3 linked regions of the Danio rerio genome follow. The protein of the gene in region 2 purifies or fractionates together with the protein of the main gene of each other region. This does not show direct contact. Links are inferred from orthologs where the notes say so. Each region holds a gene or a part of one and is shown on either strand. Other genes may lie near its edges. The genes, in order: sntb1, dmd and sntb2.

Evidence for each region.
Region 1: the proteins of dmd (region 2) and sntb1 purify together in Homo sapiens (co-immunoprecipitation; 4 studies listed by BioGRID and IntAct, counting the BioPlex papers as one, with this or other methods). This does not show direct contact. The link is inferred for Danio rerio from reciprocal best matches to the Homo sapiens genes DMD and SNTB1.
Region 3: the proteins of dmd (region 2) and sntb2 purify together in Homo sapiens (co-immunoprecipitation; 4 studies listed by BioGRID and IntAct, counting the BioPlex papers as one, with this or other methods). This does not show direct contact. The link is inferred for Danio rerio from reciprocal best matches to the Homo sapiens genes DMD and SNTB2.

What each region holds. Positions count from the first base shown.
Region 1 is NC_133191.1:15,590,715-15,598,941, forward strand, and holds the start of sntb1 (beta-1-syntrophin), read right to left. Parts: upstream 5,332-8,227; 5' UTR 5,282-5,331; coding exon 4,777-5,281; intron 1-4,776. UniProt on the Homo sapiens protein: Adapter protein that binds to and probably organizes the subcellular localization of a variety of membrane proteins. May link various receptors to the actin cytoskeleton and the dystrophin glycoprotein complex.
Region 2 is NC_133176.1:12,341,454-12,349,137, forward strand, and holds part of dmd (dystrophin), read right to left. Parts: intron 6,979-7,684; coding exon 6,808-6,978; intron 6,447-6,807; coding exon 6,267-6,446; intron 4,690-6,266; coding exon 4,567-4,689; intron 3,089-4,566; coding exon 2,918-3,088; intron 1,407-2,917; coding exon 1,290-1,406; intron 1-1,289. UniProt on the Homo sapiens protein: Anchors the extracellular matrix to the cytoskeleton via F-actin. Ligand for dystroglycan.
Region 3 is NC_133200.1:37,486,168-37,494,628, reverse strand, and holds the start of sntb2 (beta-2-syntrophin), read right to left. Parts: upstream 4,164-8,461; 5' UTR 3,909-4,163; coding exon 3,365-3,908; intron 1-3,364. UniProt on the Homo sapiens protein: Adapter protein that binds to and probably organizes the subcellular localization of a variety of membrane proteins. May link various receptors to the actin cytoskeleton and the dystrophin glycoprotein complex.

The sequences.
Region 1 (8,227 bases), on a different chromosome or scaffold from region 2:
AAAAGTTACATTTTTTTGGTAAGTCAGAGCTTTAAAAAGAAGCAACGTTCTGAAATTGTCCTTTCCAAAGAAGAAAGGCGTTCATTCAATACTGAAAAAGAAACCATGGGGGAAAGTAAATGACAAAAGAATTTCTAATATTTTTTTATTTAACATCAAGCCATCAGTGACTGAACCACATGCTGCTTTGACTCCCGAAGGCAGTTCAATCCTTATGCAGGAGGGTATGACAAAAGTACAGCACATCTGTGTTCATTTAGTCACAAAGACGTCAGGTGGAAAGCTTGAAAATAATCACACAAAGAGGCCAAATATAGATATGTAATCCCGGTATCAGTTGCATGAATCAGTTTTAAAGTAACTAAATTAAATGTTTACTTTCCAAAGTAATTTGTCATGACTGTTAAACTTTAATGGTGTTTTAATTGGGCAAATAAAAGACATCAAAACAAGGATGAACACAGTATTGAGTTACTATGCCATGTTTATTTTTTTTACAGAACGTGACTACAGAAAGACTTTAATGTCATAAAAAAGGTGAAGCACTGGTATGAGGTTAAAGTCTCTTCCAGCATAAAGAATCAGTATGTCAAGCTCTACAACTGATAGTGTAAAACCATTTGCATAAACACCTCCAGGCCACAACAATATATTGTGTGACAGGGACTGTACAAGGCACAAATACAGAAATGCAGAACAGAAATGGATACAGAGCAAAACAGTTTCCAGAAGTAGAAACATTTATACTCAAAGAAACGGATTTAACAACTGATAAATCTTTAAAGACAGCTGTTGTGAGCTTTGAGGTTTAGGCCATCTGTTTTTTTTATCTTATTTACAAAAAGGGAGTTTAAAAAGTAGTTATGCAGGGAAAGTACAACTGAATTTCCCATTAAGCTGTACAGAAAAATACCAATCAGAGGGACCAATAATCTATTAGCAAAGTCTAAAGCACAGGGCGCAAGGCATCAAGGGCATGTCCAAATCCACTTTTGCTATTTTAAAGATGGAAAAATAAAGTTTGCGCTGCAGAACATGGTCTAACATGGTTGTATTCTCTTAATGAGTTAAGCAGGTCGCACACCAGAAGCGCCGCTCGGCGCCGCGACACGGCGCGTACATGACAGATTAAAGTATCGCACACCAGACGCGCACATTTGAATGATATTTAACATGAAACTAATCAGATGGCGCTTTGTGGCGCGGCTGAAAAATGAACTGCGTCCTGAGCCGTCGCCGGGCGCCGCCGACAGCCGCCGACTTGCGGCGCCGGTGTGTGTATCCTGATAGAAACCTATGTTTAGAATTCTAAAATACATGGCGCTGCGCGGCGCGACGCCGAGCGGCGCTTCTGGTGTGCGACCTGCTTTAGGGTGTGTTTCGAGAATAACGTGTACTAAACCAATGAGAGTCTCATCTCCCATTCCCTTTAAGAGAAGTTGAGTCGCGCCATGACACATTTACTATTTACATGGTGGACTTTGTAAATGGAAATACTGAACACTTCACTAGCAAGAAAACAGTTAAACAAACCATCTGCGGTGAGAGGATAAAGAACGAGCCTCCTTCATTCGGCCTCTTTACTTTCGCTTTCTCCTCACTTTTACTCTTTACTCCTTTCGTGGAAATGGTGTTGTATGTACTCCACTGAAGACATACATTAGCCTACATACTAAATTTTGTTTGTTATGCACAAACATTTGTTTCAAAACTATTTCTAAATTCAGTTCTTATTTCCAGCAAACGAATAAATGAGCAATATTAACAAAGTATGTTTGGAGTTATATCCAAACACACGTCTTATGCCCCATATGGTCAAAAACCAGACAGGTGGACAATTCTAAACCTGTTTTAGGGCTGTGCAATTAATCAAAAATCAGATTATAAAAAAAAACATTAATCTAAATAAACGATTATTCCATCACATACCGCCCCTTTTCCAGTTGTACACGTGTTGCTCTGCAAAGCTCAGTTCCACGTGAAAGTGACTAAAAGCATGTGCTGTAATGTAACTTTTTCAGCATTAATATTATTGATTATTAATCAATAATAAAATAAAAAATACATTGAAGATGCTTAAAGCACAGTTTAAACACAACAGATTTAATAACTCATTTCTAATAACTTATTTATATTATCTTTGCTATGATGACAGTACATTATATTTTACTAGATATTTTTCAAGATACTAGTATTCAGCTTAAAGTGACACAAAGGTTTAATTAGAGTAATTAGGCAAGTCATTGTATAACAGTAGTTTCTTCTGTAGATAATCAAAAATATATATTGCTTGAGGGGGCTAATAATATTGAGCTATTAGAATAGGTTTCAAAATATTTAAACCTGCTTTTATTCTAGCTGAAATAAGAAGAAAAAATATTTTAGGAAATACTGTAAAAAAAAAATCCTCTGTTAAACATCATTTGGGAACTATTTATATATAAAAATAAATTCATAGAAGGGCGAATAATTTTGACTTCAACTGATAATCGTTTTGAATAATCGTGATTATGATTTTTCCCATAATTGAGCAGCCCTAGCCTGTTTGTATTAAAACAAATATAAATATGCATATAAATAATAATAATAATCATCATCATCATTATAATAATAATAACATTATATGAAAGTAAGTTGTCATGAATAAAGTGAAAAAAGCCCCATGAGATGAAGAAAGAACAGAGCAGGCGGTTTTTATATTTATGTGGAAAATAAATTTTGTAATATTTTAATCCTTTAGTTCCTTTTTTCATTTGTAAATTTGCATATTGCTGTACATTGCCTGTGTGTACTAAGCAATATGTACGCATTTAAGGCGCACAACTAACGCGCTCTGTGCTGCACTTTAGACCTGCTTTCAGCTGATCAATTGCACAGTAAATTTTAGTTCCTCAAAATAGCAATGTGCCAACAATGCACCTTAACATACCTCCTTTCTAGACCGACACACCCATGATTCCACAAAGCGCTGAAAAATAGCAACACATCACGCCAAACACGTCTTGCACCTTTTGGCGCCAGGTGTATGATAGGGCCCAGAAAGTGGCAGTGTGCAATGTGTGCCAAATGAGATCTTTGACTCAACGCACTCACATGAAGTCCTCCTACACTCAAAATTTTCACATTTTGAAATAAACATTGAAAATGTATTCGATAAGTACTTATAACAACTTAATTTTTTATTTCTCCATTGTTTTTAATATTTATCCACAACACTTCACAGAGAGTAGTTCTTTGCCTATTTAAAGCGCTTTGCTTTCAGTTGTAGTATTTTTTAGTATACTCTGTTCTAAATATTTGGGTGTAGATACAGCTGGTTAATTACAATCTCGATAATAAATATTGTAATATTTTGTAGAGCACAATGCTCAAAGTTTTTTATCAAAATTATAGGGTTAGTTCACCCAAAATTGAAAACTCACTGTTTACTCACCCTCAAGTGATTCCAAATTTGTATGCGTGTCTTTCTGATTTTGAACACAAAATAAGATATTACGAAGAAAGTCAATGATTACAGGTTTTCGATATTTTTCTAAATATCTTCCTTTGTGTTCAACAGATGTAATAAACTGAAAGGTTTAAAGCATGTTAGAGATGAGTAAATAATGACAGAATTTTCATTTTTTGGGTAAATTATGCCTATAATATTATAATTATTTAAAATAACAACAAATTTAGATCTTTTCCACACAGTCTAAATTAATACATATTCTGTCTCGACTGTGTGGGTATTCCAAGCCTAACTGCCATTGCAAGTCTTCTTCATCTAAGCATATTTCTAAATCCTCAGTTGTATTATGGAAATCTTCAACATGACTGAGCGGAATGAAAGTTATGGATGTCCCTCTGAAATCTGTGGTGTGCTTTTATGATTCAGTCAGAGGGAATTTCAGAGCTTTGTCACTCTCAAGGGTGCTTTCATCCTTAATGTACAACACCGGAGGGCAGAGCAAAAACCTCCATCACTCTGACAATGACCTTCCACAGGTGTGAGAAAAGGACTTGTTTTTGGATTAATTATCAACCTGCTTTAATAAATAAATATATAAATAAATAAACAACTTAAACCAGCTCAGGTTGCTGTATTTATTTGGTTTAGGGTGGGGTTTTGTTTATTTAGCCAAGCAATTTGCTGCGTAAAAAACCCATCATATTTGGTGACCCAAAGGAAATTAACAAGTTGCATAGTTGTAGTACTTCAGTAACCCTTTATAAAACATTTAGTGTTATATTTATGAGACATACTGCATTTCCCATATCTAACAACTTTGTGACTGAATTCTGTGAACATGCCATAACCCTTACTGACACTGTAGCTTGTAACATTGGCCAATTTGCATTTAAACATTAGCGTATGTGAATAAACATTACTTATTGTGATGTGTATTTGTATTTTTTTTTTTACATTTCAAACAAATGTTATCTTTGAATAAATGGGTTTAGTAATTTCTGATTGACTTTGAACTTTTGAGGTTTTTGTTTGTTTGTTTTTAAAGTTCTATTCTTATTATTCAATTGGTCAAGTCTTATGTTATGTGTTCTTTCAAATCTAAACCATAATAAAATACAACTCCTCATAGAGGAAAACTATAAAATGTTATGTGTATATAAAGTTATAACACACGAATGCATATATTTTTATGTATGCATTATGATACAGCATCCACCCTGCCGTGTCACTTCAACAGGTTCATCCACACACCTGATAATAACCCATATAGCCTCATCAAAACTCAGCCTGTCTGGCAGGTTTTCTGGCGTTTTCCTCGTCCTTACCTTCCAGCATAACTTCTTTGCCCGCTTTCTTCAGCACCTGCACCGCCTCGTCGTGCGTGGCGTCCCGCAGATTGATCCCGTTCACGGACAGTATCGCGTCGCCCACGTACAGCGCTTGAGTCTGATCCGCGGCCAGACCCTTGAATATCTTACTAATGAGAATAGGCATCTTATTCTCCTTCCCGCCTTTGATGCTGATCCCTAATCCACCGACCTCCTGCTTGATCACTTTGACGCATCTCTTGCGGTTCGCAATCGCTTCGGGCACTTGTGAATCCGAAAAAGGAGTTCTCGCTCCGGTTTTGGGACTGTTGGTGGGGTCCGGTTGGTCGTAGGAGCCGTTGGTGGTGATGCCGTTCAGGCTGACGCTGGTGTCCGCCGCGGGATCCTCGCAGCTGAGCGTCAGAGACTCGTCCCCTAAACTCGCCAGCACCGCGTGCCATTGCTCCCGCACCAGCACCTCCAAACATGCACTTTTCTGCACTCTGTTACCGCAAACCGCCATCTTTGAAGCATTCTTAAAATGCCATGTGATTTCATACACTCGTACAGGACTTTACCCCCGAACAGGGAAAAAGTTGTGATTCAGGTTGAATAGTTTCAGCCCCTCTACAGGCTCCACATGCATATCCTTTTTGGGTGGAGCAAATGTCTGAGATGTCCTGTGTGGCCATGCTCAACTGCCTCTCGCTGTCAGGAAATGTTTCGTTTCAAGTCTCCGTGTGGGATGTATCTTTTAAATACATCGATGTATTTGATAGATACATTACATTCCACACGGAGATTACATAAAGTAATGTTCATTTATGTCTTTGCAAAAAATAATGGCAGACGGCTTCAGATTGCATTTAGCTGTCACTTGGTATTCAATTTGCGTGTTTACAAACTCTATTATGACTTTCAAGGCTAATGTACGTTAATGTTAGAAAAGTTATGTTCCTGAAAATCCTGCCGTTAAACTTGCCTCAGCTGAACGTTCACGAGCGTTTGTTTACCTCGTGGAAACACGCCACTCATGTGGTTGGGAGACGCCAAATATAATAAAATACAGCTATATTTATAAAGAGCATGTTTTCAAAAAAACACACAGTAACCACCTATAATTAGCGCCTTGTTTTAAGTACTGAACATGGATTTCCGCTGTTGTAATTCCATCACTGTGCCGGTTTGGGAAATAATCTGTTTTGCACCTTTTAACACATTAATTGATGGTTCTCTTTAAATGTACATAACTGGGGGAACAATTATGTCGATTATTCTCAAGCAAGATGATAAAAACATTTATGTGTTTTGCTTGTTTTTTCTCACGAAAAAAAACTGCGGTGTTCCTATTATCTAGACGGTCTACAATTTAGTGGCGTAAACGATTTTAGCGCCATCTGGTGTTTAATATTGGTTTGTGCATTTTTGAAATAACTTCAGTACACTGGACTTGAAGCTGTTTGAACTCTGTTAATTAATTTTCTTTTTGTCTTTCACTAGGGCCTATTTCGCCAACACAGTGGCGCAGTAGGTAGTGCTGTCGCCTCACAGCAAAAAGGTCACTGGTTCGAGTCTCTGCTGGGTCAGTTGGCGTTTCTGTGGGGAGTTTGCATGTTCCGACTGCGTTCGCGTGCACGGGTTTCCTCCGGGTGCTCCGATTTTCCCCACAGTCCAATGACATGCGGTGCAGGTGAATGGGGTAGGCTAAATTGTCCATAGTGTATGAGTGTGAATGAGTGTGTGTGGTTGTTTTCCAGGGATGGGATGCGGCTGGAAGGGCATCCGCTGCGTAAAAACGTGCTGGACAATTTGGCGGTTCGTTCTGCTGTGGTGACCCCGGATTAATAAAGGGACTAAGCCGACAAGTAAATGAATGAATGAAGGGCCTATTTTTGTTTTATTGATTTTTTTATCATTCAAAGCCTTTAAACTTAGAATAAATAATAATGTTTGGACTTATTTTATTGATGCTTCTTTTTACTTTGCCAATTTTTTTTTTTATTGCATGTGCTATAACATGTTTCCCACGTCTTCTGCAGAGCACTTTATAAAGAGATTTGAGACTTCAATTAAAGAAGTCTTGCTACTGTAAAATGTAGAAACAAGATATAACTAAGATAAAAAAAAATAGTAACATCTGACAATATGTGCATATTTGAATAAAGCAATCACCTCTGTGCTTGGCTGATGATCAAAGCAAGGAAAATAAAAAGCTAAAGATTAAATTAGCAAAGTAATCATTTTCTCTACAGATTGTTGCCAAACTGATAGGGATTTAAAAACTGTTTCATGTTGCATTTCCTTTCTGATTTGTTGACGGTGAAGCAAACATTTTTATCCAATTCAATACAGTGGAAAAACATGACAAGACTGATTTCATTAAGACTGAGAACAATGCCATTGTTCCATTGAATTAAAAGTGTTCTAAATCTGTTTCATGTCTCTCTGGGTTTGATTGGGACAAATTTAAGGATTAAGACTTGCATGAAATGTACAGGTTATCCCTAAAACAGCTTGCAGGAATCCGTGACTGAAATTTACAAGGGCTGCTGTACCAAAGGGAATGACTTTTCCTTCTTTTTTTCTGAATTGTGAAAGTACTTTTTGTCAGTCCCTGATGATTGTGAAACAGCAGGGAGGCACATGCAGCTCATTAGAGTTGAAATAAAAAACCATGTTGAAACGTTCATGCTCTCGGGTGTACAGAGAAAAGAGAAAGACTCAGGGGTGAAAGACAGATGCAGTCGTACACTTTTGTTACTTCGACAAGGTAACTTCTATTTGTGTAGTCCGAAAATGATCTCAAACTACAGTAACTATAGTGTCTGTCAACGCATGATATCCTTAATGGCAATATTTCTTTCAGAATTTTAGATTGAGACTTTAAATGGGACACGAGTGCTAACTAATTTCGATTTTTCTTCATCAATGTACCATCCCAAGTTGATGCTTTAAGGCATGGTTCACCCAAGGTTCCATGTTTGAGTTTTTATGTTCTTCTCGCGCCTGCATGAGTTTTGTAATGTAATGTAATGTGTATTTATATAGCACATTTATTGTGTATGGCCATACACCCAAAGCGCTTCACAATCATGAGGGGCAGTCTCTCCACACTTAGTGCCCACTTACAGTATAGTGTCCCCTTCACTTTTACTGGGGCATTAGGACTCACACAGACCACAGGTTGAGCGTCTCCTGCTGGCCTTTCTAATACCACTTCTAAAAGCAGTCTAGTTTACCCATGTGGTCTCCCATCCAGGTACTGACCACGCTCAGCCCTGCTTAGTTTCAGTGAGTAACCAGTCTTGGACTACAGGGTGATATGGCTGTCCTCTCTTTGCAAAGTACAAAGACATACAGTATATTGGTCAAACTACAATAAGCAAAGAGTTTGAATAGGTAAGTATGTGGGTAATTCCCAGGACTGGTGGTTGCACAAGTGAGTGTACTCTCAGGGCATCCACTGGTA
Region 2 (7,684 bases):
CCGTCTATCTACAAATCTATTTGTCAATCCATCCATTCATCTCTATCATCTATTAGTGCATCCATCCCTCCATTATCCTCTTTATCATCTATTAATCTATTACAGCGTCAATCCATCCACACATTCATTCATGCGTCAATCTGTCTGTCTATCTATCTACATATCTATTTGCAATTCCATCCATCCATCCATCCATCCATCCATCTCTTAACATCTATCAATCTATCAGTGCATCAATCCATCATCCATCCATCATTCTCTTTATCATCTAGTTATCTATAATAGCATCTATCCATCCATCCATTAATCAGATGATCTGTCTATCTATCTACATATCTTTTTGCCATTCCATCCATCCATCATTCCATCCATCCATCCACCCATCCATCCATCCATCCATCCACTATCTATCTATCTATCAATCTATCAGTCATATTATATTAATATAGTGTAAATCATATTAATATACAGTCTAACCACATCTATCAATCCATACTTCTATCGATCTTTCTATCTACCATCCATCCACACATCCATTTTTACGTTGATCTGTCCATCTATCTATAGTACACATCTATTTGCCATCCATCCATCCGTCCGTCCATCCATTCATCCATCCATCATCCATCCATCATTCTCTTTATCATCTAGTTATCTATAATAGCATCTATCCATCCATCCATTAATCAGATGATCTGTCTATCTATCTACATATCTTTTTGCCATTCCATCCATCCATCATTCCATCCATCCATCCACCCATCCATCCATCCATCCATCCATCCATCCATCCATCCATCCATCCATCCATCCACTATCTATCTATCTATCAATCTATCAGTCATATTATATTAATATAGTGTAAATCATATTAATATACAGTCTAACCACATCTATCAATCCATACTTCTATCGATCTTTCTATCTACCATCCATCCACACATCCATTTTTACGTTGATCTGTCCATCTATCTATAGTACACATCTATTTGCCATCCATCCGTCCGTCCGTCCATTCATCCATCCATCCATCCATCCATCCATCCATCCATCCATCCATCCATCCATCCATCCATCCAACCATCCATCCGTCTATCTGATAGATATATGGAATGCAATGACGTTCTGTGCCAGCATTTGTTACTCATGCAGCAGACCCGCTCACTGAAACTCATTACGTTTCTTGTCATGAGATCTTTACGATAAAGCTCGGAGCCTTTCGCAGGCCGCGCGGTTCCAATGACTGAAATTAATTTTAGCCAAAGAAACAGCTGAGAGTATTTTCTTACCGCATCCTCCAGGAAATCTTCCTCTTTTAGACTTTCACCTAATTTAATCTCCTCGTCCAGCACCTGGAGCCATATATTAGCCTGTCTGTGGTACTCGTCTAACTCTTGGGAGGAGGCCTGGAAGAAAATATGATCAAATACATTCAAATCCAATTATATTCATTGAAAAAAAATCTATTTTCTAAGTGGCATAATAAGACAATGTCGCTAACGAATTTAGCTTCAGCAGAGGGAGAGAAATCAGATTCAAATTCACTTTTCTTATATGTCCTTGTTAGTTTGAAATACGTAAAACTGCTCAGAATGGAGATAAACCCTTACAATTCCAAGGTGGTGATATGTAAACAACTAGAAAAAAATACTTTTGCTACTAACCAGTATGTTTATAACTATGAAAACACATTGAAATTATATGATAAGAAGTATCAGTTTGGATAATAGGCCACATCCTTATCTTATATGAAAAAAATAATGTGAATTCTGTGCATATATACACCAAAAATGCTCAGTTGTTGTAATCCAGTATTGGGTCAAACAAAAACAAACTCAGTGTTGGGATATTTTTTTCAATTACATTTAAATGACACTTTTAAACCAAATAGTTGGGTTTGTCCATATTGTACATTGTCCAACATTGGGTTACGGCAACCCAGCATATGTTTTATAGTGTATGCATATACAGTACAATACCTGACAAAAGTCTTGTCGCCTATCAAAGTTTTAGGAACAACAAATAATAACTTGACTTCTAGTTGATCATTTGGTATCAGAAGTGGCTTGCATGAAAGACAAAGGCTTAGGTGACTCTTATTTTACCAAAATAAAACATGATCATGCCTTGATTTTTAATTCTTTAATAAGGTCAGCAAGGTCTGACTTTGCTTATACAAAAGTCTTGTCACTTAACAGAAATAATGTGCAGTATATGTACAGTAAGTCATGGTGCAGTGGAAAGAGAATTAATATTGTGTATGACTCCCATGAGCTTGAACAACTGCATCCAAACATCTCTGCAATGACTCAGATAACTTATTAATAAAGTCATCTGGAATGTCAAAGAAAGAGTTCTTGCAGGACTCCCAGAGTTCATCAAGATTCTTTGGATTCATCTTCTGCGCCTCCACCTTCATCTTACCAGACATGGTCAATAATGTTCATGTCTGGTGACTGGGCTGGCCAATCCTGGAGCGCCTTGACCTTCTTAGCTTTCAGGAACTTGGATGTGGAGGCTGAAGTATGAGAAGGAGTGCTATCCTGCAGAAGAATTTGCCCTCTCCTGTGGTTTGTAATGTAATAGGCAGCACAAATGTCTTGTTACCTCAGGTTGTTGATGTTGCCATCCACTCTGCAGATCTCTAGCTTGGTCCATACTGAATGTAACCCCAAATCATGATTTTTTCTTCTCGAAACTTGACTACTTTCAGTGAGAATATTTGGTCCATGCTGGTTTCAATAGGTCTTCTGCAGTACTGATTCATCTGATCTGATTCATCTGAAAAATCTACCTTCTGCTACTTTTTCAAATGATCAACTAGAAGTCAAGTTATAATTCGTTGCTCTTACAACTGGGATTGACAACAAGACTTTTGTCAGGTAGTGTATAGGCATGCACCTTTTCATAGCATTACCTGTCCCATTAAAATCCTTCTTGCAACAATGTCAAAACGTTGGTTAAGCTGTTCAAGCTTTGGTTTCACTTGAGCTTTACAATGTTCCCCTGTGTTCTTTATAAGATCCTCTGCTAGAACTTGCACTGCTTCAACTTTCCCCTTCATCTCCTCCAACTCCATTCGCAAACCCTGAACATTCAGAAAACACCAACAAATCAGTTATGAATGATGCATTTAGAATAAATGCTATAAATCTGATTAATTCATAGGTATTGCAAAAAAAAAAAAAATACAATTACACTTGACAATTAAAAACTCAAAAAAAATATTAAATTGCAGTAACAAAAAAGTAAGTTATGAGAACTACAAAAAAAGTTATAAGAACTAGAAAAATTAAGTTGCGGTAACTAGAAAAAAAGTTGCAGTAATTACAACAATTAAGTTTTTCTAACTACAAAAACTAAGTTACAGTATATTACCTAGAAAAATTGAGTTGCATTAGCTAAAAATTTGAAGTTGTGCTATCTACAAAAATGAAGTTACAGTATAAGACCTAGAATAATTGAGTTGCATTAGCTAGAATATTTAAGTTGTGCTAACTACAAAATTAAGTTACAGTATAAGACCTAGAATAATTGAGTTGCATTAGCTAGAAATTTTAAGTTGTGCTAACTACAAAATTAAGTTACAGTATATGATCTAGAATAATTGAGTTGCATTAGGTAGAATATTTAAGCTGTGCTAACTAAAACATTAAGTTACAGTATAAGACCTAGAATAATTGAGTTGCATTAGCTAGAATATTTAAGTTGTGCTAACTACAAAATTAAGTTACAGTATATGATCTAGAATAATTGAGTTGCATTAGGTAGAATATTTAAGCTGTGCTAACTAAAACATTAAGTTACAGTATAAGACCTAGAATAATTGAGTTGCATTAGCTAGAAAATTTAAGTTGTGCTAATTACAACATTTAAGTTAGAACTAACTAACTAACGAAGTAGTTTTTTATTATAGTTACAGCAACTTAATTTACTGGTTTTTATAATTAAATTTTTCTAGATTTTCTAGTTTTTATCACTTGTTACAAACAGAAAAAAAATTCTACTTACTGTAACTTAATTGTTCTGGTTATTGCATTGCAATTAAACATTAACAACTATTAAAGATTATAATGCTGAACAAACATTGTTCGCCTTCAGTTCATGTTAACTAATCCATCAACTAACATGTTATTATATGTTTAGTTACCATTAAAGAATAAGTAATGCTTAACAAATGTGTTTTTCGTCATTGATACATGTTAACTAATTCATTAACTTACACAAATTGTAAAGTGTTACCAAATATTTAGGTAATAAGTTACAAAAGACGGTTATATTTAATGTATAGATGGTACGGATGAATGATGATCTGTATTCTAAATCTAAAATACAATTTTTTGGCCATCTGTCTGTTTTGTTCTCCTTAATGGCTTAATCTAGAGTTTTATTTGCTGCAAATTGCCTCCAATTAATGAGCCATCAAAACATCATTGCCAAAGAAAGATGGATAACTTTTCCTTTAATTTGATGCAAAAGTATGGCTGCATAAAACCGTCTCTAGTCCTCAAAAACAGAAAACATTCGGTTGTGAAGTGCAGAAGCATATTGTGAGTGTCTGAAGACCTTTATAACGTGCTCAATGCAGCCCTGGCTGTCCATCTCATCCAGCTTCTCTTCTGCGCGATCCATCCAGGTGTTGATCTGAGAAATGTTCTGCTCAAGTGTTTTCATTTGATTTTGATAATCCTGCATGGCAGATGGAGATACTGTATGTTTACATTCAGCTTCGCTTAATAGCATAAAGAAATATGCTCCATAACAGGCTGTGATATTACAGTAGATGCTACGTTAAAGTAAACGTTTATCCAAAAATGTACTGTCTGTTATTATTTATTCACGGTTGTGTTCTTACAAACATTGCATGTTAAAAAAACAGCGAAACATACAGCTTTGAAAAATAGAAACAGCATCAGAGTTAATTTTGGTTCTCTGAGTGGCCATTAACAGATACATTCACCGGGCACTTTATTAGGTACAACTTACTAGTACCGGGTTGTAAACACGTTTGCCTTTGGAACTGCTTTAACCCTTAATTGCACTTAATAAAGTGGCCGGCGAGTGTATGTGTTAAATGTGTTTTATTTTAATTATCAACTACTAATAGGGTTTCTTTGAAACTTCAGATGAGAACCGTATCATCAGCAGAAATTACAACAGGACAATATAAAATACTGACTGACTACCAAATAAAAATAAATCATGCATAAATCTTAACTTAATTACACTGTATACGTTAGAACTGCACACTACTGGAAAAATCGATATTGTGATATGATTACCATTTTAGCAGAAGACTTGAATACTTCGATTTGGAAAGGATTAATTATTTTAGATTGGTTCGGTTGAGATAAGAAATGCACCTGACTAAAATATAATTAACCACCTTCAAGCATAGATCAATGCAATAAAAAAAATACAAGATACGACTGAATTTTTTATCTTTTTCCGAGTCTAATAGTCTTCTGGTGTAGTAACTAAATAATAATAATAATAATAATTCAATAAAATGAATCTTTATTAAAGTTACAAACGGTACCGTTTCTTGGCCGTGAATGCAGTCAAAGGCTTAAAAAAAACATGTAAATTCTGGCTTATAATAATAACATAATAATATAGACTCAACATTGCATATCGTACGATGTGACAATTGCGAATGATCACATTGCGATACCGATGCTGAAACAATATATTGTGCAGCCCTAGAATGCCATATTATTTTTTAATAAACTCTGATATACACCTGTGAAACATTAGACTTTCTTCCACTGCATGCAAAAAATTGAAAAATATATTATTAAACATTTTCTTTTTGTGCTATGTGGACATATAAGGTAAATAATATATAAGTTAGAAAACATTAACAGAATCTTCATTTTATGAATTTACTTTTATTTAATCCTTTCATTTTAGCTTCAAGGCTAAGCCTCATCTCTTGACATGTTGTCCCCAAGATATTTATAGCTATTTACAAAGCGGAATAAGGTAGAAAACATAGTCAGAAAGATAAAAGATGAGATGTGGAAACGGCGAGCAGTAGAAAAGGTAATAAAGAAGAGCAGGAGATAAATATGCTTTAAAGTTTCATAACATTATTGCCGCCTCCAGAAATGGCCATCTGGATTTAAAAGAACAATATGGAGATGTGAAATTGAAAGGAAATGAATTTAGCCTTGTAGGGCACATTTAGCTTAAGAAATATTTTGCCTACAATGAAATGACTCAGAGCAGGGTCAGACTGTTGCTACGAAGCGGTTGTTGCTCACCAGCAGGAGTTTGAGCCACTGTTCGCTCCGTGACGTCACTGCGATCCAGTTGCAGTTCAGCAAACTGACCTTGTCATCAATCAGGTTCTCTTGGCTATGAAGTAAACCCTTCAGGGTCCCTGCCAACTCCCTCACCAGTTTCAACTGTGGCTTATGATGCTCAGTGTCCTCCTGCGCTGCCTGGGTAGGAAAACAAAAATCATGTTTAAAAAAAAATCATGCTTATCCTTGGATAAGTGGATAATTCACCCAAAAATGTAAAGTTACTCACTATTAACTCACCCTCAAGTATTTCCAAATCTTTATGGGTTTCCTATTTTATTAAATTTTTTGTTTAACACTAAAGAAGATTTTCTAATAGTTATTCCCACCACTTCATATATTAAAAAGAATATCAGAACGTTGGAGAAAAGAAACTTATAAGAGCACTACAATCAGTGAATGATAACAAAATTGTAATTTTATGGGATGACTATTACTTTAATGACTTGCAAATAGTTTAGACTCATACAAAGCTGCTGAAATTTAAGTATTTATTCACCTTTGCCCAAGCCAACTCCGCATCCAAATCACTTGGCATACCCTCCACCGATGAGCGGCGCGTCAGTTCCCCATCAGTAGTAGCCAGCCATTCGGTTAGACTGTTCACCTCCTTCCTAAACTTCCTCAGTAACTTCAAAATCTTCTCCAGTTCCTGCTTTCCTTCTGTTACCTGCGCAATGCAAAACAACAATCATTTTGATCAATCAATGACAAATCAAATCACAATAAATAATTGTGACAGTCAAGGAATCAATCAAATCCATAAATCCTTTTGCAATCAATCAATCAATCAATCAGCTATTTAGTTAAACAATTAATCAGTCAAATGCAATCAATCAATCAATCAATCAATCAATCAATCAATCAATCAATCAATCAATCAATCAATCCATCAATCAATCAATCAATCAATCAATCAGCTATTCAGTTAAACAATTAATCAGTCAAATGCAATCAATCAATCAATCAATCAATCAATCAATCAATCAATCAATCAATTAATATTTTTTGTCAATTAGTCACTCATTCAATCAATCAATCAAATGCAATCATTTAACCATTCATTTTAATTAGTAAATTATTCAAATAAAATGAATATGAGGAAACCTTGGAGAGTTTCAGGATTCTTTTATAAACAGTTAAGAGAACAGCTTCATTTGAAATTTGGAGGTCATTTGAAGTTATTTTTTTACATCTAACATGTATTATTTTTACATATATAAATAAAAAAACCCTGCCCTCAAAGTTTTGAATTGTAGTGTTATTTATTTTCCCCACAAGTTACTGATTTTTGTGTAACTTGTGGGGAGTCCTTGAGATAAGAAGTGCACCTGACTAAAATGTAATTAACCACCTTCAAGGGTGTTTAACAAATG
Region 3 (8,461 bases), on a different chromosome or scaffold from region 2:
AACTCCCAATTATAAATTGTCTACTCATTTTTGTTCATATAGCTATCCAGTACATTTTATATATTACCAATGAAGTTTGAATTGCACATGCAATCATATTGTTTATCCCTTATTGTTTCACAATATTTATTGTAACAATACCTCTGCATTCTTATCAAAGCACATCATTACTCCATATTACACTGTATTGTTTGGTTATAATTTTGTTATTTTCAAAATGCAAATTTATATATGAACAATACAACAAATGCATATCTCTATATGAAAACGTATAGCTTGGCAACAATTAACCATTACACTATCCAACAACTTGTGTTTTTAATTTTTCTAATTAAATTAATGTAAATTAATTTGCAATTGGGCTTTTGCATATCTGGAATTATTTGGTGAGTGTATCAATTCTGCATATTACATAGTAAGTTTATAACTCACTTTATGATAAATTAACTTGGCGTTCATATTTAGCGTAATCTAATTTAAAGTATACATTTATGAACAGGACATTTAATAATCTGGGAGCGTTGACTTCAAATATATTATGTAGCCATGTATCTTTCACCCCCCCCTACTGGACGCATTAGGAACAACAGGGGTGTAAAGCTGTGGGGCGTAAAACTGCCTGGATCCAAGTCTGCAGACGCCCCATATAGCCGAGAGGCGCTTCTGGTGTGCTTCCTGCTTCATACAGAGTGAACCAAAGCACATTGGTGCCAATATAATGAATTAATTTTTTTTTTTTTTTAAATCGCGATTTCTCGATTTGATTCAAAATTAAATCGTCTGGAAACGTAAATTCGAATTAATCGAAAAAAATCGCCCAGCCCTAACTTTCCCAATTCTAAGACTGTATCTGACAATTAGTCACAGGCAAATAAACTTTAGTGACAAGGCAGCAAGTGGCCTGATCGGGCCAGTAATGATCCTGTCTACTGTCCCGAGCATCTCACACGCTGGCCTGGCAGTCCTTATTGTTGAGCCCTGATTGGCATCATTTATTTCGGTGTTTCGGTATCTGCTAAGAATTTTCATTTCGGTGCATCCTTATTTTGCATTTCTAATGGAATATTCCAGCATTGGTGCAGTATCATGGGATCATTTCTGAGCCATTTAAAGATTCAGCTCTCGGTTTAATTAGGCCAGTGCTGATGAGGATAATGAGTGTGTGAACAGAGCTCATCTCACGAGACCCCGCTCCACAGTTCTCATCAGTCTCGGTGTCTCTCAGGCAGGAGATTGAGCAGATCAACATGTGTTTCACTGAGCTGATGGACAGGGCGTATAATGGAAGTCAACGGGGCTCTTAAATGTGTTATCCTGGAGGCTCAGTGCCAGTGCTGGGGAGACATTTAAATACCACAACACTCACTGGACTCCACCAATGTAAACTCTGCCTGTGCCAATATTGCGTTTAAGTCAGTTTTGTTTAACTATTTGTAAATATGAAAATTAAGCACCAAGTAAAAAAACTGATATTTGTAGAAATATTTGTAAGCTGACCAAATTTACACTAAAATAGGAATCAGATATTAGGTTTCGATCCAGAAAAAATAAATCATTTGCATAAATAAATTTGACTAAACTATAATATTTTGTAGGAAGAATTAATTAAATTAAATGGTCATTAATTAAAATTTTTATTTATTGTCACTGTACAAAAATGTGTCATGATTCCACTTATTATATTTATCTTTTATTAATCACAGCTTTTCGCGTGTTTTTGCAATACAAATAATTTTTATTACCATGATTTTTGTTGTTTTTTAAATAATAAGATGATATATCCCCTTAAAATTTTAGACCATATCAACAAAAGTAACAAATCCAATATTTTGTAATATAATAATAATAATAATATTGCTGACAAATAAAATTTCTAATTAAGTGAATTACATTATTTAAAGATATTAAAGACTTTTATCTGCATTTTTTTCATGCTACCTACAATTTTTGCTTTTATTTTATAGTTTTTTTGTTTTATAGTCTACAAACTTCGACACAAAATTTGTGGGACTATTTATTAGACAATGTTTACATGTCAAAACGATTCTTTCAGGCCCACAAAATGCATACAATTTATATAATTTAGTTTGAAAAACGTGTTACATAGATTTACTCTTAGGTACGAGACTAATGAAAATAAAGTCGCAAAACAGATTCTTTCATTCATTCATTTTCTTTTCAGCTTAGTCGTTTTATTAATCTGGGTTCGCCGCAGCGGAATGAACCATCAACTTATCAAGCATATGTTTTATGCAGCGGATGACCTTCCAACCGCAACCCAGCGCTGGGAAACACCCATACACTCTTGCATTTACACCCACACGTACACTACGGCCAATTTATTCAAATCCCCTATAGCGCATGTGTTTGGACTGCGGGGAAACCAGAGCACCTGGAGGAAACCCACACCAACATGGGGAGAACATGCAAACTCTACACAGAAATGCCAACTGGCACAGCCGGGGCTCGAACCAGCAACAATCTTGCTGTGAGGCGACAGTGCTAACCACTGAGCCACCGTGCCGCCCAAAACAGAATCTTTACTAGGAAAAAAATAGTGGGGCTGGATTTTTACACTGACTGTGGTTTGCTATTGGTCAGTCACACTGAATGACACCTTGACTCCGCCTTCATGCCAGTGAACACCAATCAAAGAAGAAGAGCCACTGAAGTGGGCGTTATTTTGAAGAAAACTTGTATGAAATGTTATTTATTTAAAATTAAAAAAAATGTGCAAAGACAATAATTAATAATAAATATCGTACTAAAGTGTTTCAACACCGAACTAAAATATCATTCAAAATTAGAATTTTTGTATTGCAGAATATGGGTATTGCAAATCAGAGTTATTGATAGATGTTTAGGGGATAAATCAATCATTAGATAGATAAAAAATATATAAATAAAAAATAATACTGTGATTTCACCAAAAAAAAATGAAGTTAAAAAAGTACAGTAATACAGTACATCTGTTTATCTATTCCTCTTTTACTGTATTACTCCCATTCCTATTCAAATCATACCTGGTGTTTGGAGAAAATTGCTATTAGAGAAAAAAAAGTTATCTGCTTATTACCACAAAAAACCTTCAGTCATGCACATCACACATCTGTAAGTTTCATAACTTCAGTAAGGGGTTTCCAAACCTCTTATAAACCTGAATTATCTAATATGTCAAATGAGCCAATGTTTACAACATGAACAGTTAAAACTCAACACAATAAAACCTGAAACACCTCAAAGTTTCTATTTAGGCGTGTAAATTATGAACACATAAATAATTAATTATTCAAAAAACTTTGTTTTGATTAACGGTAAACTACAAAGGCCTACTGAATCCCCGCGGCTCGAGTGATTGACTTACCCTCCAGCGTGACCTCCTTCCCAGCCTTCTTCAGCGCCTGCACCGCCGCGTCGTGCGTAGCGTCGCGGAGGTCGCTGCCGTTGACGGACAGTATCGCGTCGCCCACACGCAGAGCTCGACTCTGATCCGCAGCTAAACCGGGGAAGATCTTTGATATTAGGATAGGCATACGGTTCTCCCGTCCCCCTTTAATGCTAATCCCCAGTCCGCCGGACTCCTGCTTGACTATCCGAACTCTGCGTACCCCCTCCGAGTCACAGTAACCGCTGGACTCCGAGTCCGACCCGGTCCCGTTAACGCGACCCGGGCTGTTGTCGTATTGCACGCGATTCGTAAACACATCCCGGTTCTGTTCGTTGCCATTGGAAACGCCGTTTTTCAGATGCGAATTGTGCTCCGGGTAACCCGCGGGCCCGCCCGGTTCTCCCTCCGCCGTGAGAGTGAGGTTGTCCCGCGTGAGCTCCGCTGACACCCGGACCCAGCGGTCGCTCAGCAGAAGGTCCAGATGACCCTGTTTCTCCGCGCGGGTCCACACGGCCATCATCAAACTTTAACTCATCCTAAAGTTTAAACTCGCTCGACACACCCACTCGCACGCACATTTCCCCTGAGGAAGGAAGAGGAGCGAAATTTTAATAATAAATCTGTTTAATAAGTTTAAACATTGGTATTTATTGCTGCAGCTCTCCGAGTTCGGGTTCTCACGGCACGGAGAAACTATTTAATTAAAAACACGCGCTGCTGCTTAGACCGGACGGCCGGAGAAAAGCGTTAGATTTGTATCTCATTGATTATTCATGAGAGGGGCGGGGATTGTCAACTTATTTATCTTTCCTCGCCGCACTAAAGCCACTAAAGCTGTACAGTGATTTAGAAACAAAGCGAAAATAATGGCGTAAAATTACTTCAGTGTCATCATTACTGTATGACTTTTGTTCTTATTATAATGCAGCTTTTAGTTGTAATAAGATAGATAGTAGGAAAACAAAGATAACTCTCTCATTAATAATTAATCAGATTCAAATCTTTATACGTTGAATAAGTTAATATCCAACAACAAATAATAATAATAGTTATTGTTAGTATTATAATTAATATAAAACAAAATAAATACGTTTTTAATATAAAATTTTAACTTGTCACTATTTCACAGACAGTTAAAAGACTATTGGTGAGCTAATTTAAGTTTTTATAAATAGATGGGATTATTAGTTAATTTTCATATTTACTGTTTTCATTTTAATAGAGAATTAAATTAAGCTTTAATAATCCTTCCATCCCGATACCATAAAGCAAAGTCCATTTTCATCTGTAGCTGAAGGGATTGAAGCTCTATTGTATTGAAGTCATGTGTTTGGTAAATCTGCTGGTCAATATAACACATAAGTGTTTTTGCCCAAAATAATATTGACTCGCAGTAAAAGATGTTGACTGTTCTCATTAGCTTCAAAGTGTTACTCATACTCTAAATGACTCACCTCAGCTTTAAAAAAAAACTCTAATACACAGCTTTATTTTATTTATCACAGTTGACAGAAAATTTATGTATGATAATTGTTTTTCCTTACACTAATTAATGTAGTCGTGTTGTTTTGAATTTGAGGGGGGAGGGGGGGGAGTATTCAAAATACAGTTTTGTGTAAGCGTTTGTGAATATGTTTATAGCACGAATATGGAAAAGAGGGAAAACTGATGAATCAACTGAGGATCATCAGGAACAACCATCACAAAGTAAAATAAATAAATAAGAACATAATTTCAGCTATTTTTCTGTCATGTAAACATCTTTGTTGTAAAATTTAGAATTGAAAAAAACAGCCTATGAACTCCTCAAAATGATTAATAAATTCAGAATTGCAGGAAGAAGAAAAAAACTAATTCAGAATTGTAATATAAACAAAGAAACATGAGATAGAAAAGTATCTCTGAACACACAACATGTCCAACCTTGAGGCGGATGGGCTACAGCAGCAGACAAACACACCGGGTGCCGCTCCTGTCAGCTACGAACAGGAAACTGAGGCTACAATTCACACAGGGTCACCAAAATTAAACAATAGAAGATTGGAGAAACGTTGCCTGCTCTGATGAGTCTCCATTTCTGCTGTGACATTCAGATGGTCGGGTCAGAATTTGGCCTCAACAACATGAAAGCATGGATCCATCCTGCCTTAAATCAACAGTTCAGGCTGGTGGTGGTGGTGGTGTAATGGTGTGGGAGATGTTTTCATGACACACTTTGGGCCCATTAGTACCAATTAATCATCGTGTCAACACCACAGCCTACCTGAGTATTGTTGCTGACCATGTCCATCCCTTAATAACCACAGCGTACCCATCTTCTGATGGCTACTTCCAGCAGAAGAACGCCGTTAAGTGCCAAACATCTCAGACTGGTTTCTTGCATGACAATGAGTTCACTGTACTCAAATGGCCTCCCCAGTCACCAAATCTCAATTCAATAGAGCAGCTTTGGGATGTGGTGGAATGGGAGATTGGCATCATGGATGTGCAGCTGACAAATCTGCACATTCATGATGCTATCATGTCAACATGGAGCAAAATCTTAAGAATATTTCCAGTGCCGTGTCGATTCTGAAGGTTAAAGGGGGTCCAACCTGGTACTAGTAAGGTGTACCTAATAAAGTGGCCAGTGAGTGAAGTCACTATTAACAACGTACATAATAAAATACCAAAATATAACACACCAACCGCATCTGTAGTATGGAAAAAATGCTCTGGAGAGTGATTTGTGGCATTGGTTTTATTGCAGACCTTACAAAATAAGAGCTCGAGCTGTGGACGGGAAGGCCACTTTATTACTGGATCACTGTTACCTGCTTCATTCCGACCTTCACTAATCAGTCAAACCAGATAAATACATCACACTCCGATGCTAAACCAAACTCCAAAGCATTAAAAATACATTAGCTTTTAAATATGCATTTACTAATGTACTATATGAGGATCTCTCCTATTAGCACGGCTCAGATACATAGCATTACTTTCAAGCTCGAATCAAGGAAAAGATGAAAAAAGGATTGTCTTTTATATAAGCCTTCTTCACGTTGTGGTTAGAGGTACATAGTGCGGGAGAGGGTGATAAGGCATGAATAATTCATATGTGATTCGCATCTCTATCCTTGAAAAGCCCTGTTCACATCCAGAATGAAAACTATAAAGCTATGTATATATTACAACTTTAAAGGGGACCTACTGTGCAAAAATAACTTTTATAAGGGGTTTAAACACAACTGTGTGGTGACAATCTGCTAATATAACCAGCTTATACTTGTAAATATTTATTAATTTTAATTTTCATGATCAACTTTAATAAAAACAGTCTGCAGAAACACTTTGACTGATGTTCTCCCTTTGTATGATGAGGGGGAAAGCCCCACCCACTCAATCTCTCCCTCATTAGCATATTACATCAGTCTTGTTGTTGAATCTGCCACTATGCTGACACACAGGCATTCGTGGCTCCGCCCTCTTCTGAAAAGAGCACAATCTCATTTGCATTTAAAAAGACAGTCACCAAAAATGCCACAATTTGGATCAAATCTTAAAAGGGGCCATTTCAAAGCATTATAAATCGTTATTTGTGTGGTACTTTGAGCTGAAACTTCATGCACACACAGGCTGCGTCCGAAACTGCCTAATACTCAGTAGGAACTGCATTTGCAAGTAAACGTACTACTCGGCCGTTAGAAAGGTACATTTTATACAGTATGAATTTTGAAAGTATGAATGGAATTCGGACGTACTACATCCGCCATTTTGTCATGGTCACATGACCTACCTGCATCAGTTGCGTCGCCTCACTTCCATTCATGAATTCTCTTAACGGGTCATTTTGGGATAGCGCAGCGTGCATGGAATGCACACTCCAGAATCTCGCCGGAAGTAGTAAGTCATCCAGGTACTTCTCGCCAACTGATTTTCGAATTCTATGAATTCGGACATACTAGTCGGCTCGCATACTGATTTTAGCGTACTATATAGTATGGAAGTATGCGGTTTCGGACGCAGCCACACTCTTGGGACATCAGTGACTCATTTTAAATCTTGTAAAAAAGCAACATAATAGGTCACCAGTGGCGTAGCGCAAAATGCGGGGGCCCCCCTGCAGGGACCACTAACGGGGTCCCCTCATGAGGGGAGGGGGCGATCACAAACTGTGGGGACAGGGAGAGTAGGTGGAGCGACGACACGAGGAAGCGATCATAAATTGAGGAGCGGGAAAGGGGGATGGGGTGGAGTGACAACGCGGGGAAGCGATGACAAACTAAGGAGCGGGAAAAGGGGGCGGGGTGGAGTGACAACGCAAGGTAACATTTACAAACAAGCTGCGAAAGCATCAAAGTAGCCGGAAGTCATACAATTTCAATGAGAACCAGTGGCGAGGAGCAGTGTGGCGCGTCTTCTCCGGTGTGGGCATCGAGGAGGACTTGAAATCAAATCAACTTTATGGTAATGAGCTATGACGCGGTTCGGCGGCTAGCAATCAGAATAAAGTAGTCCACCGTTTGAGAGGAGTTCAGAGAACACAGACCTGGGAACTTTGGTTCTGACCAGTTGTTCCCAGGGGTTTGATTATTGCGGTTCCCGGATTTTCAATTATTTAAAAAAAAAAAAAAAAAAAACGCACCGACGCGGGACCCCTAATCACGTGGGGCCCCTCCCCGCGATGCGTGAACTGCAGGCCCGTCCGCTACGCCAATGTAGGTCACCTTTATTGATAATAAACTATAAAATATTTTATTTCAAACTTTAATGAACTAAAAACAACAATACTGTAGAACAGGGGTGGGCAAACTCGCTCCTGGAGGCCCAGTGTCCTGCAGACTTGTGCTTCAACACTAATTAAACACAAACCTGAACATGTTAATCAGTGTCTTTGAGATCACTAGAAATCTATAAGCTGGTGCGTTTGCTTAGAGTTGGAGCTAAACTGTGCGGGACACCGGCCCTCCAGGACCGAGTTTGCCCATCCCTGCTGTGGAACAACTATAATAAATGCTATCGTGCACTGGTGTGGAGGCTAACTGAGTTAGGCTTATAAGTGATTAAGTTGTCACTTTAAATGCTCAAGGT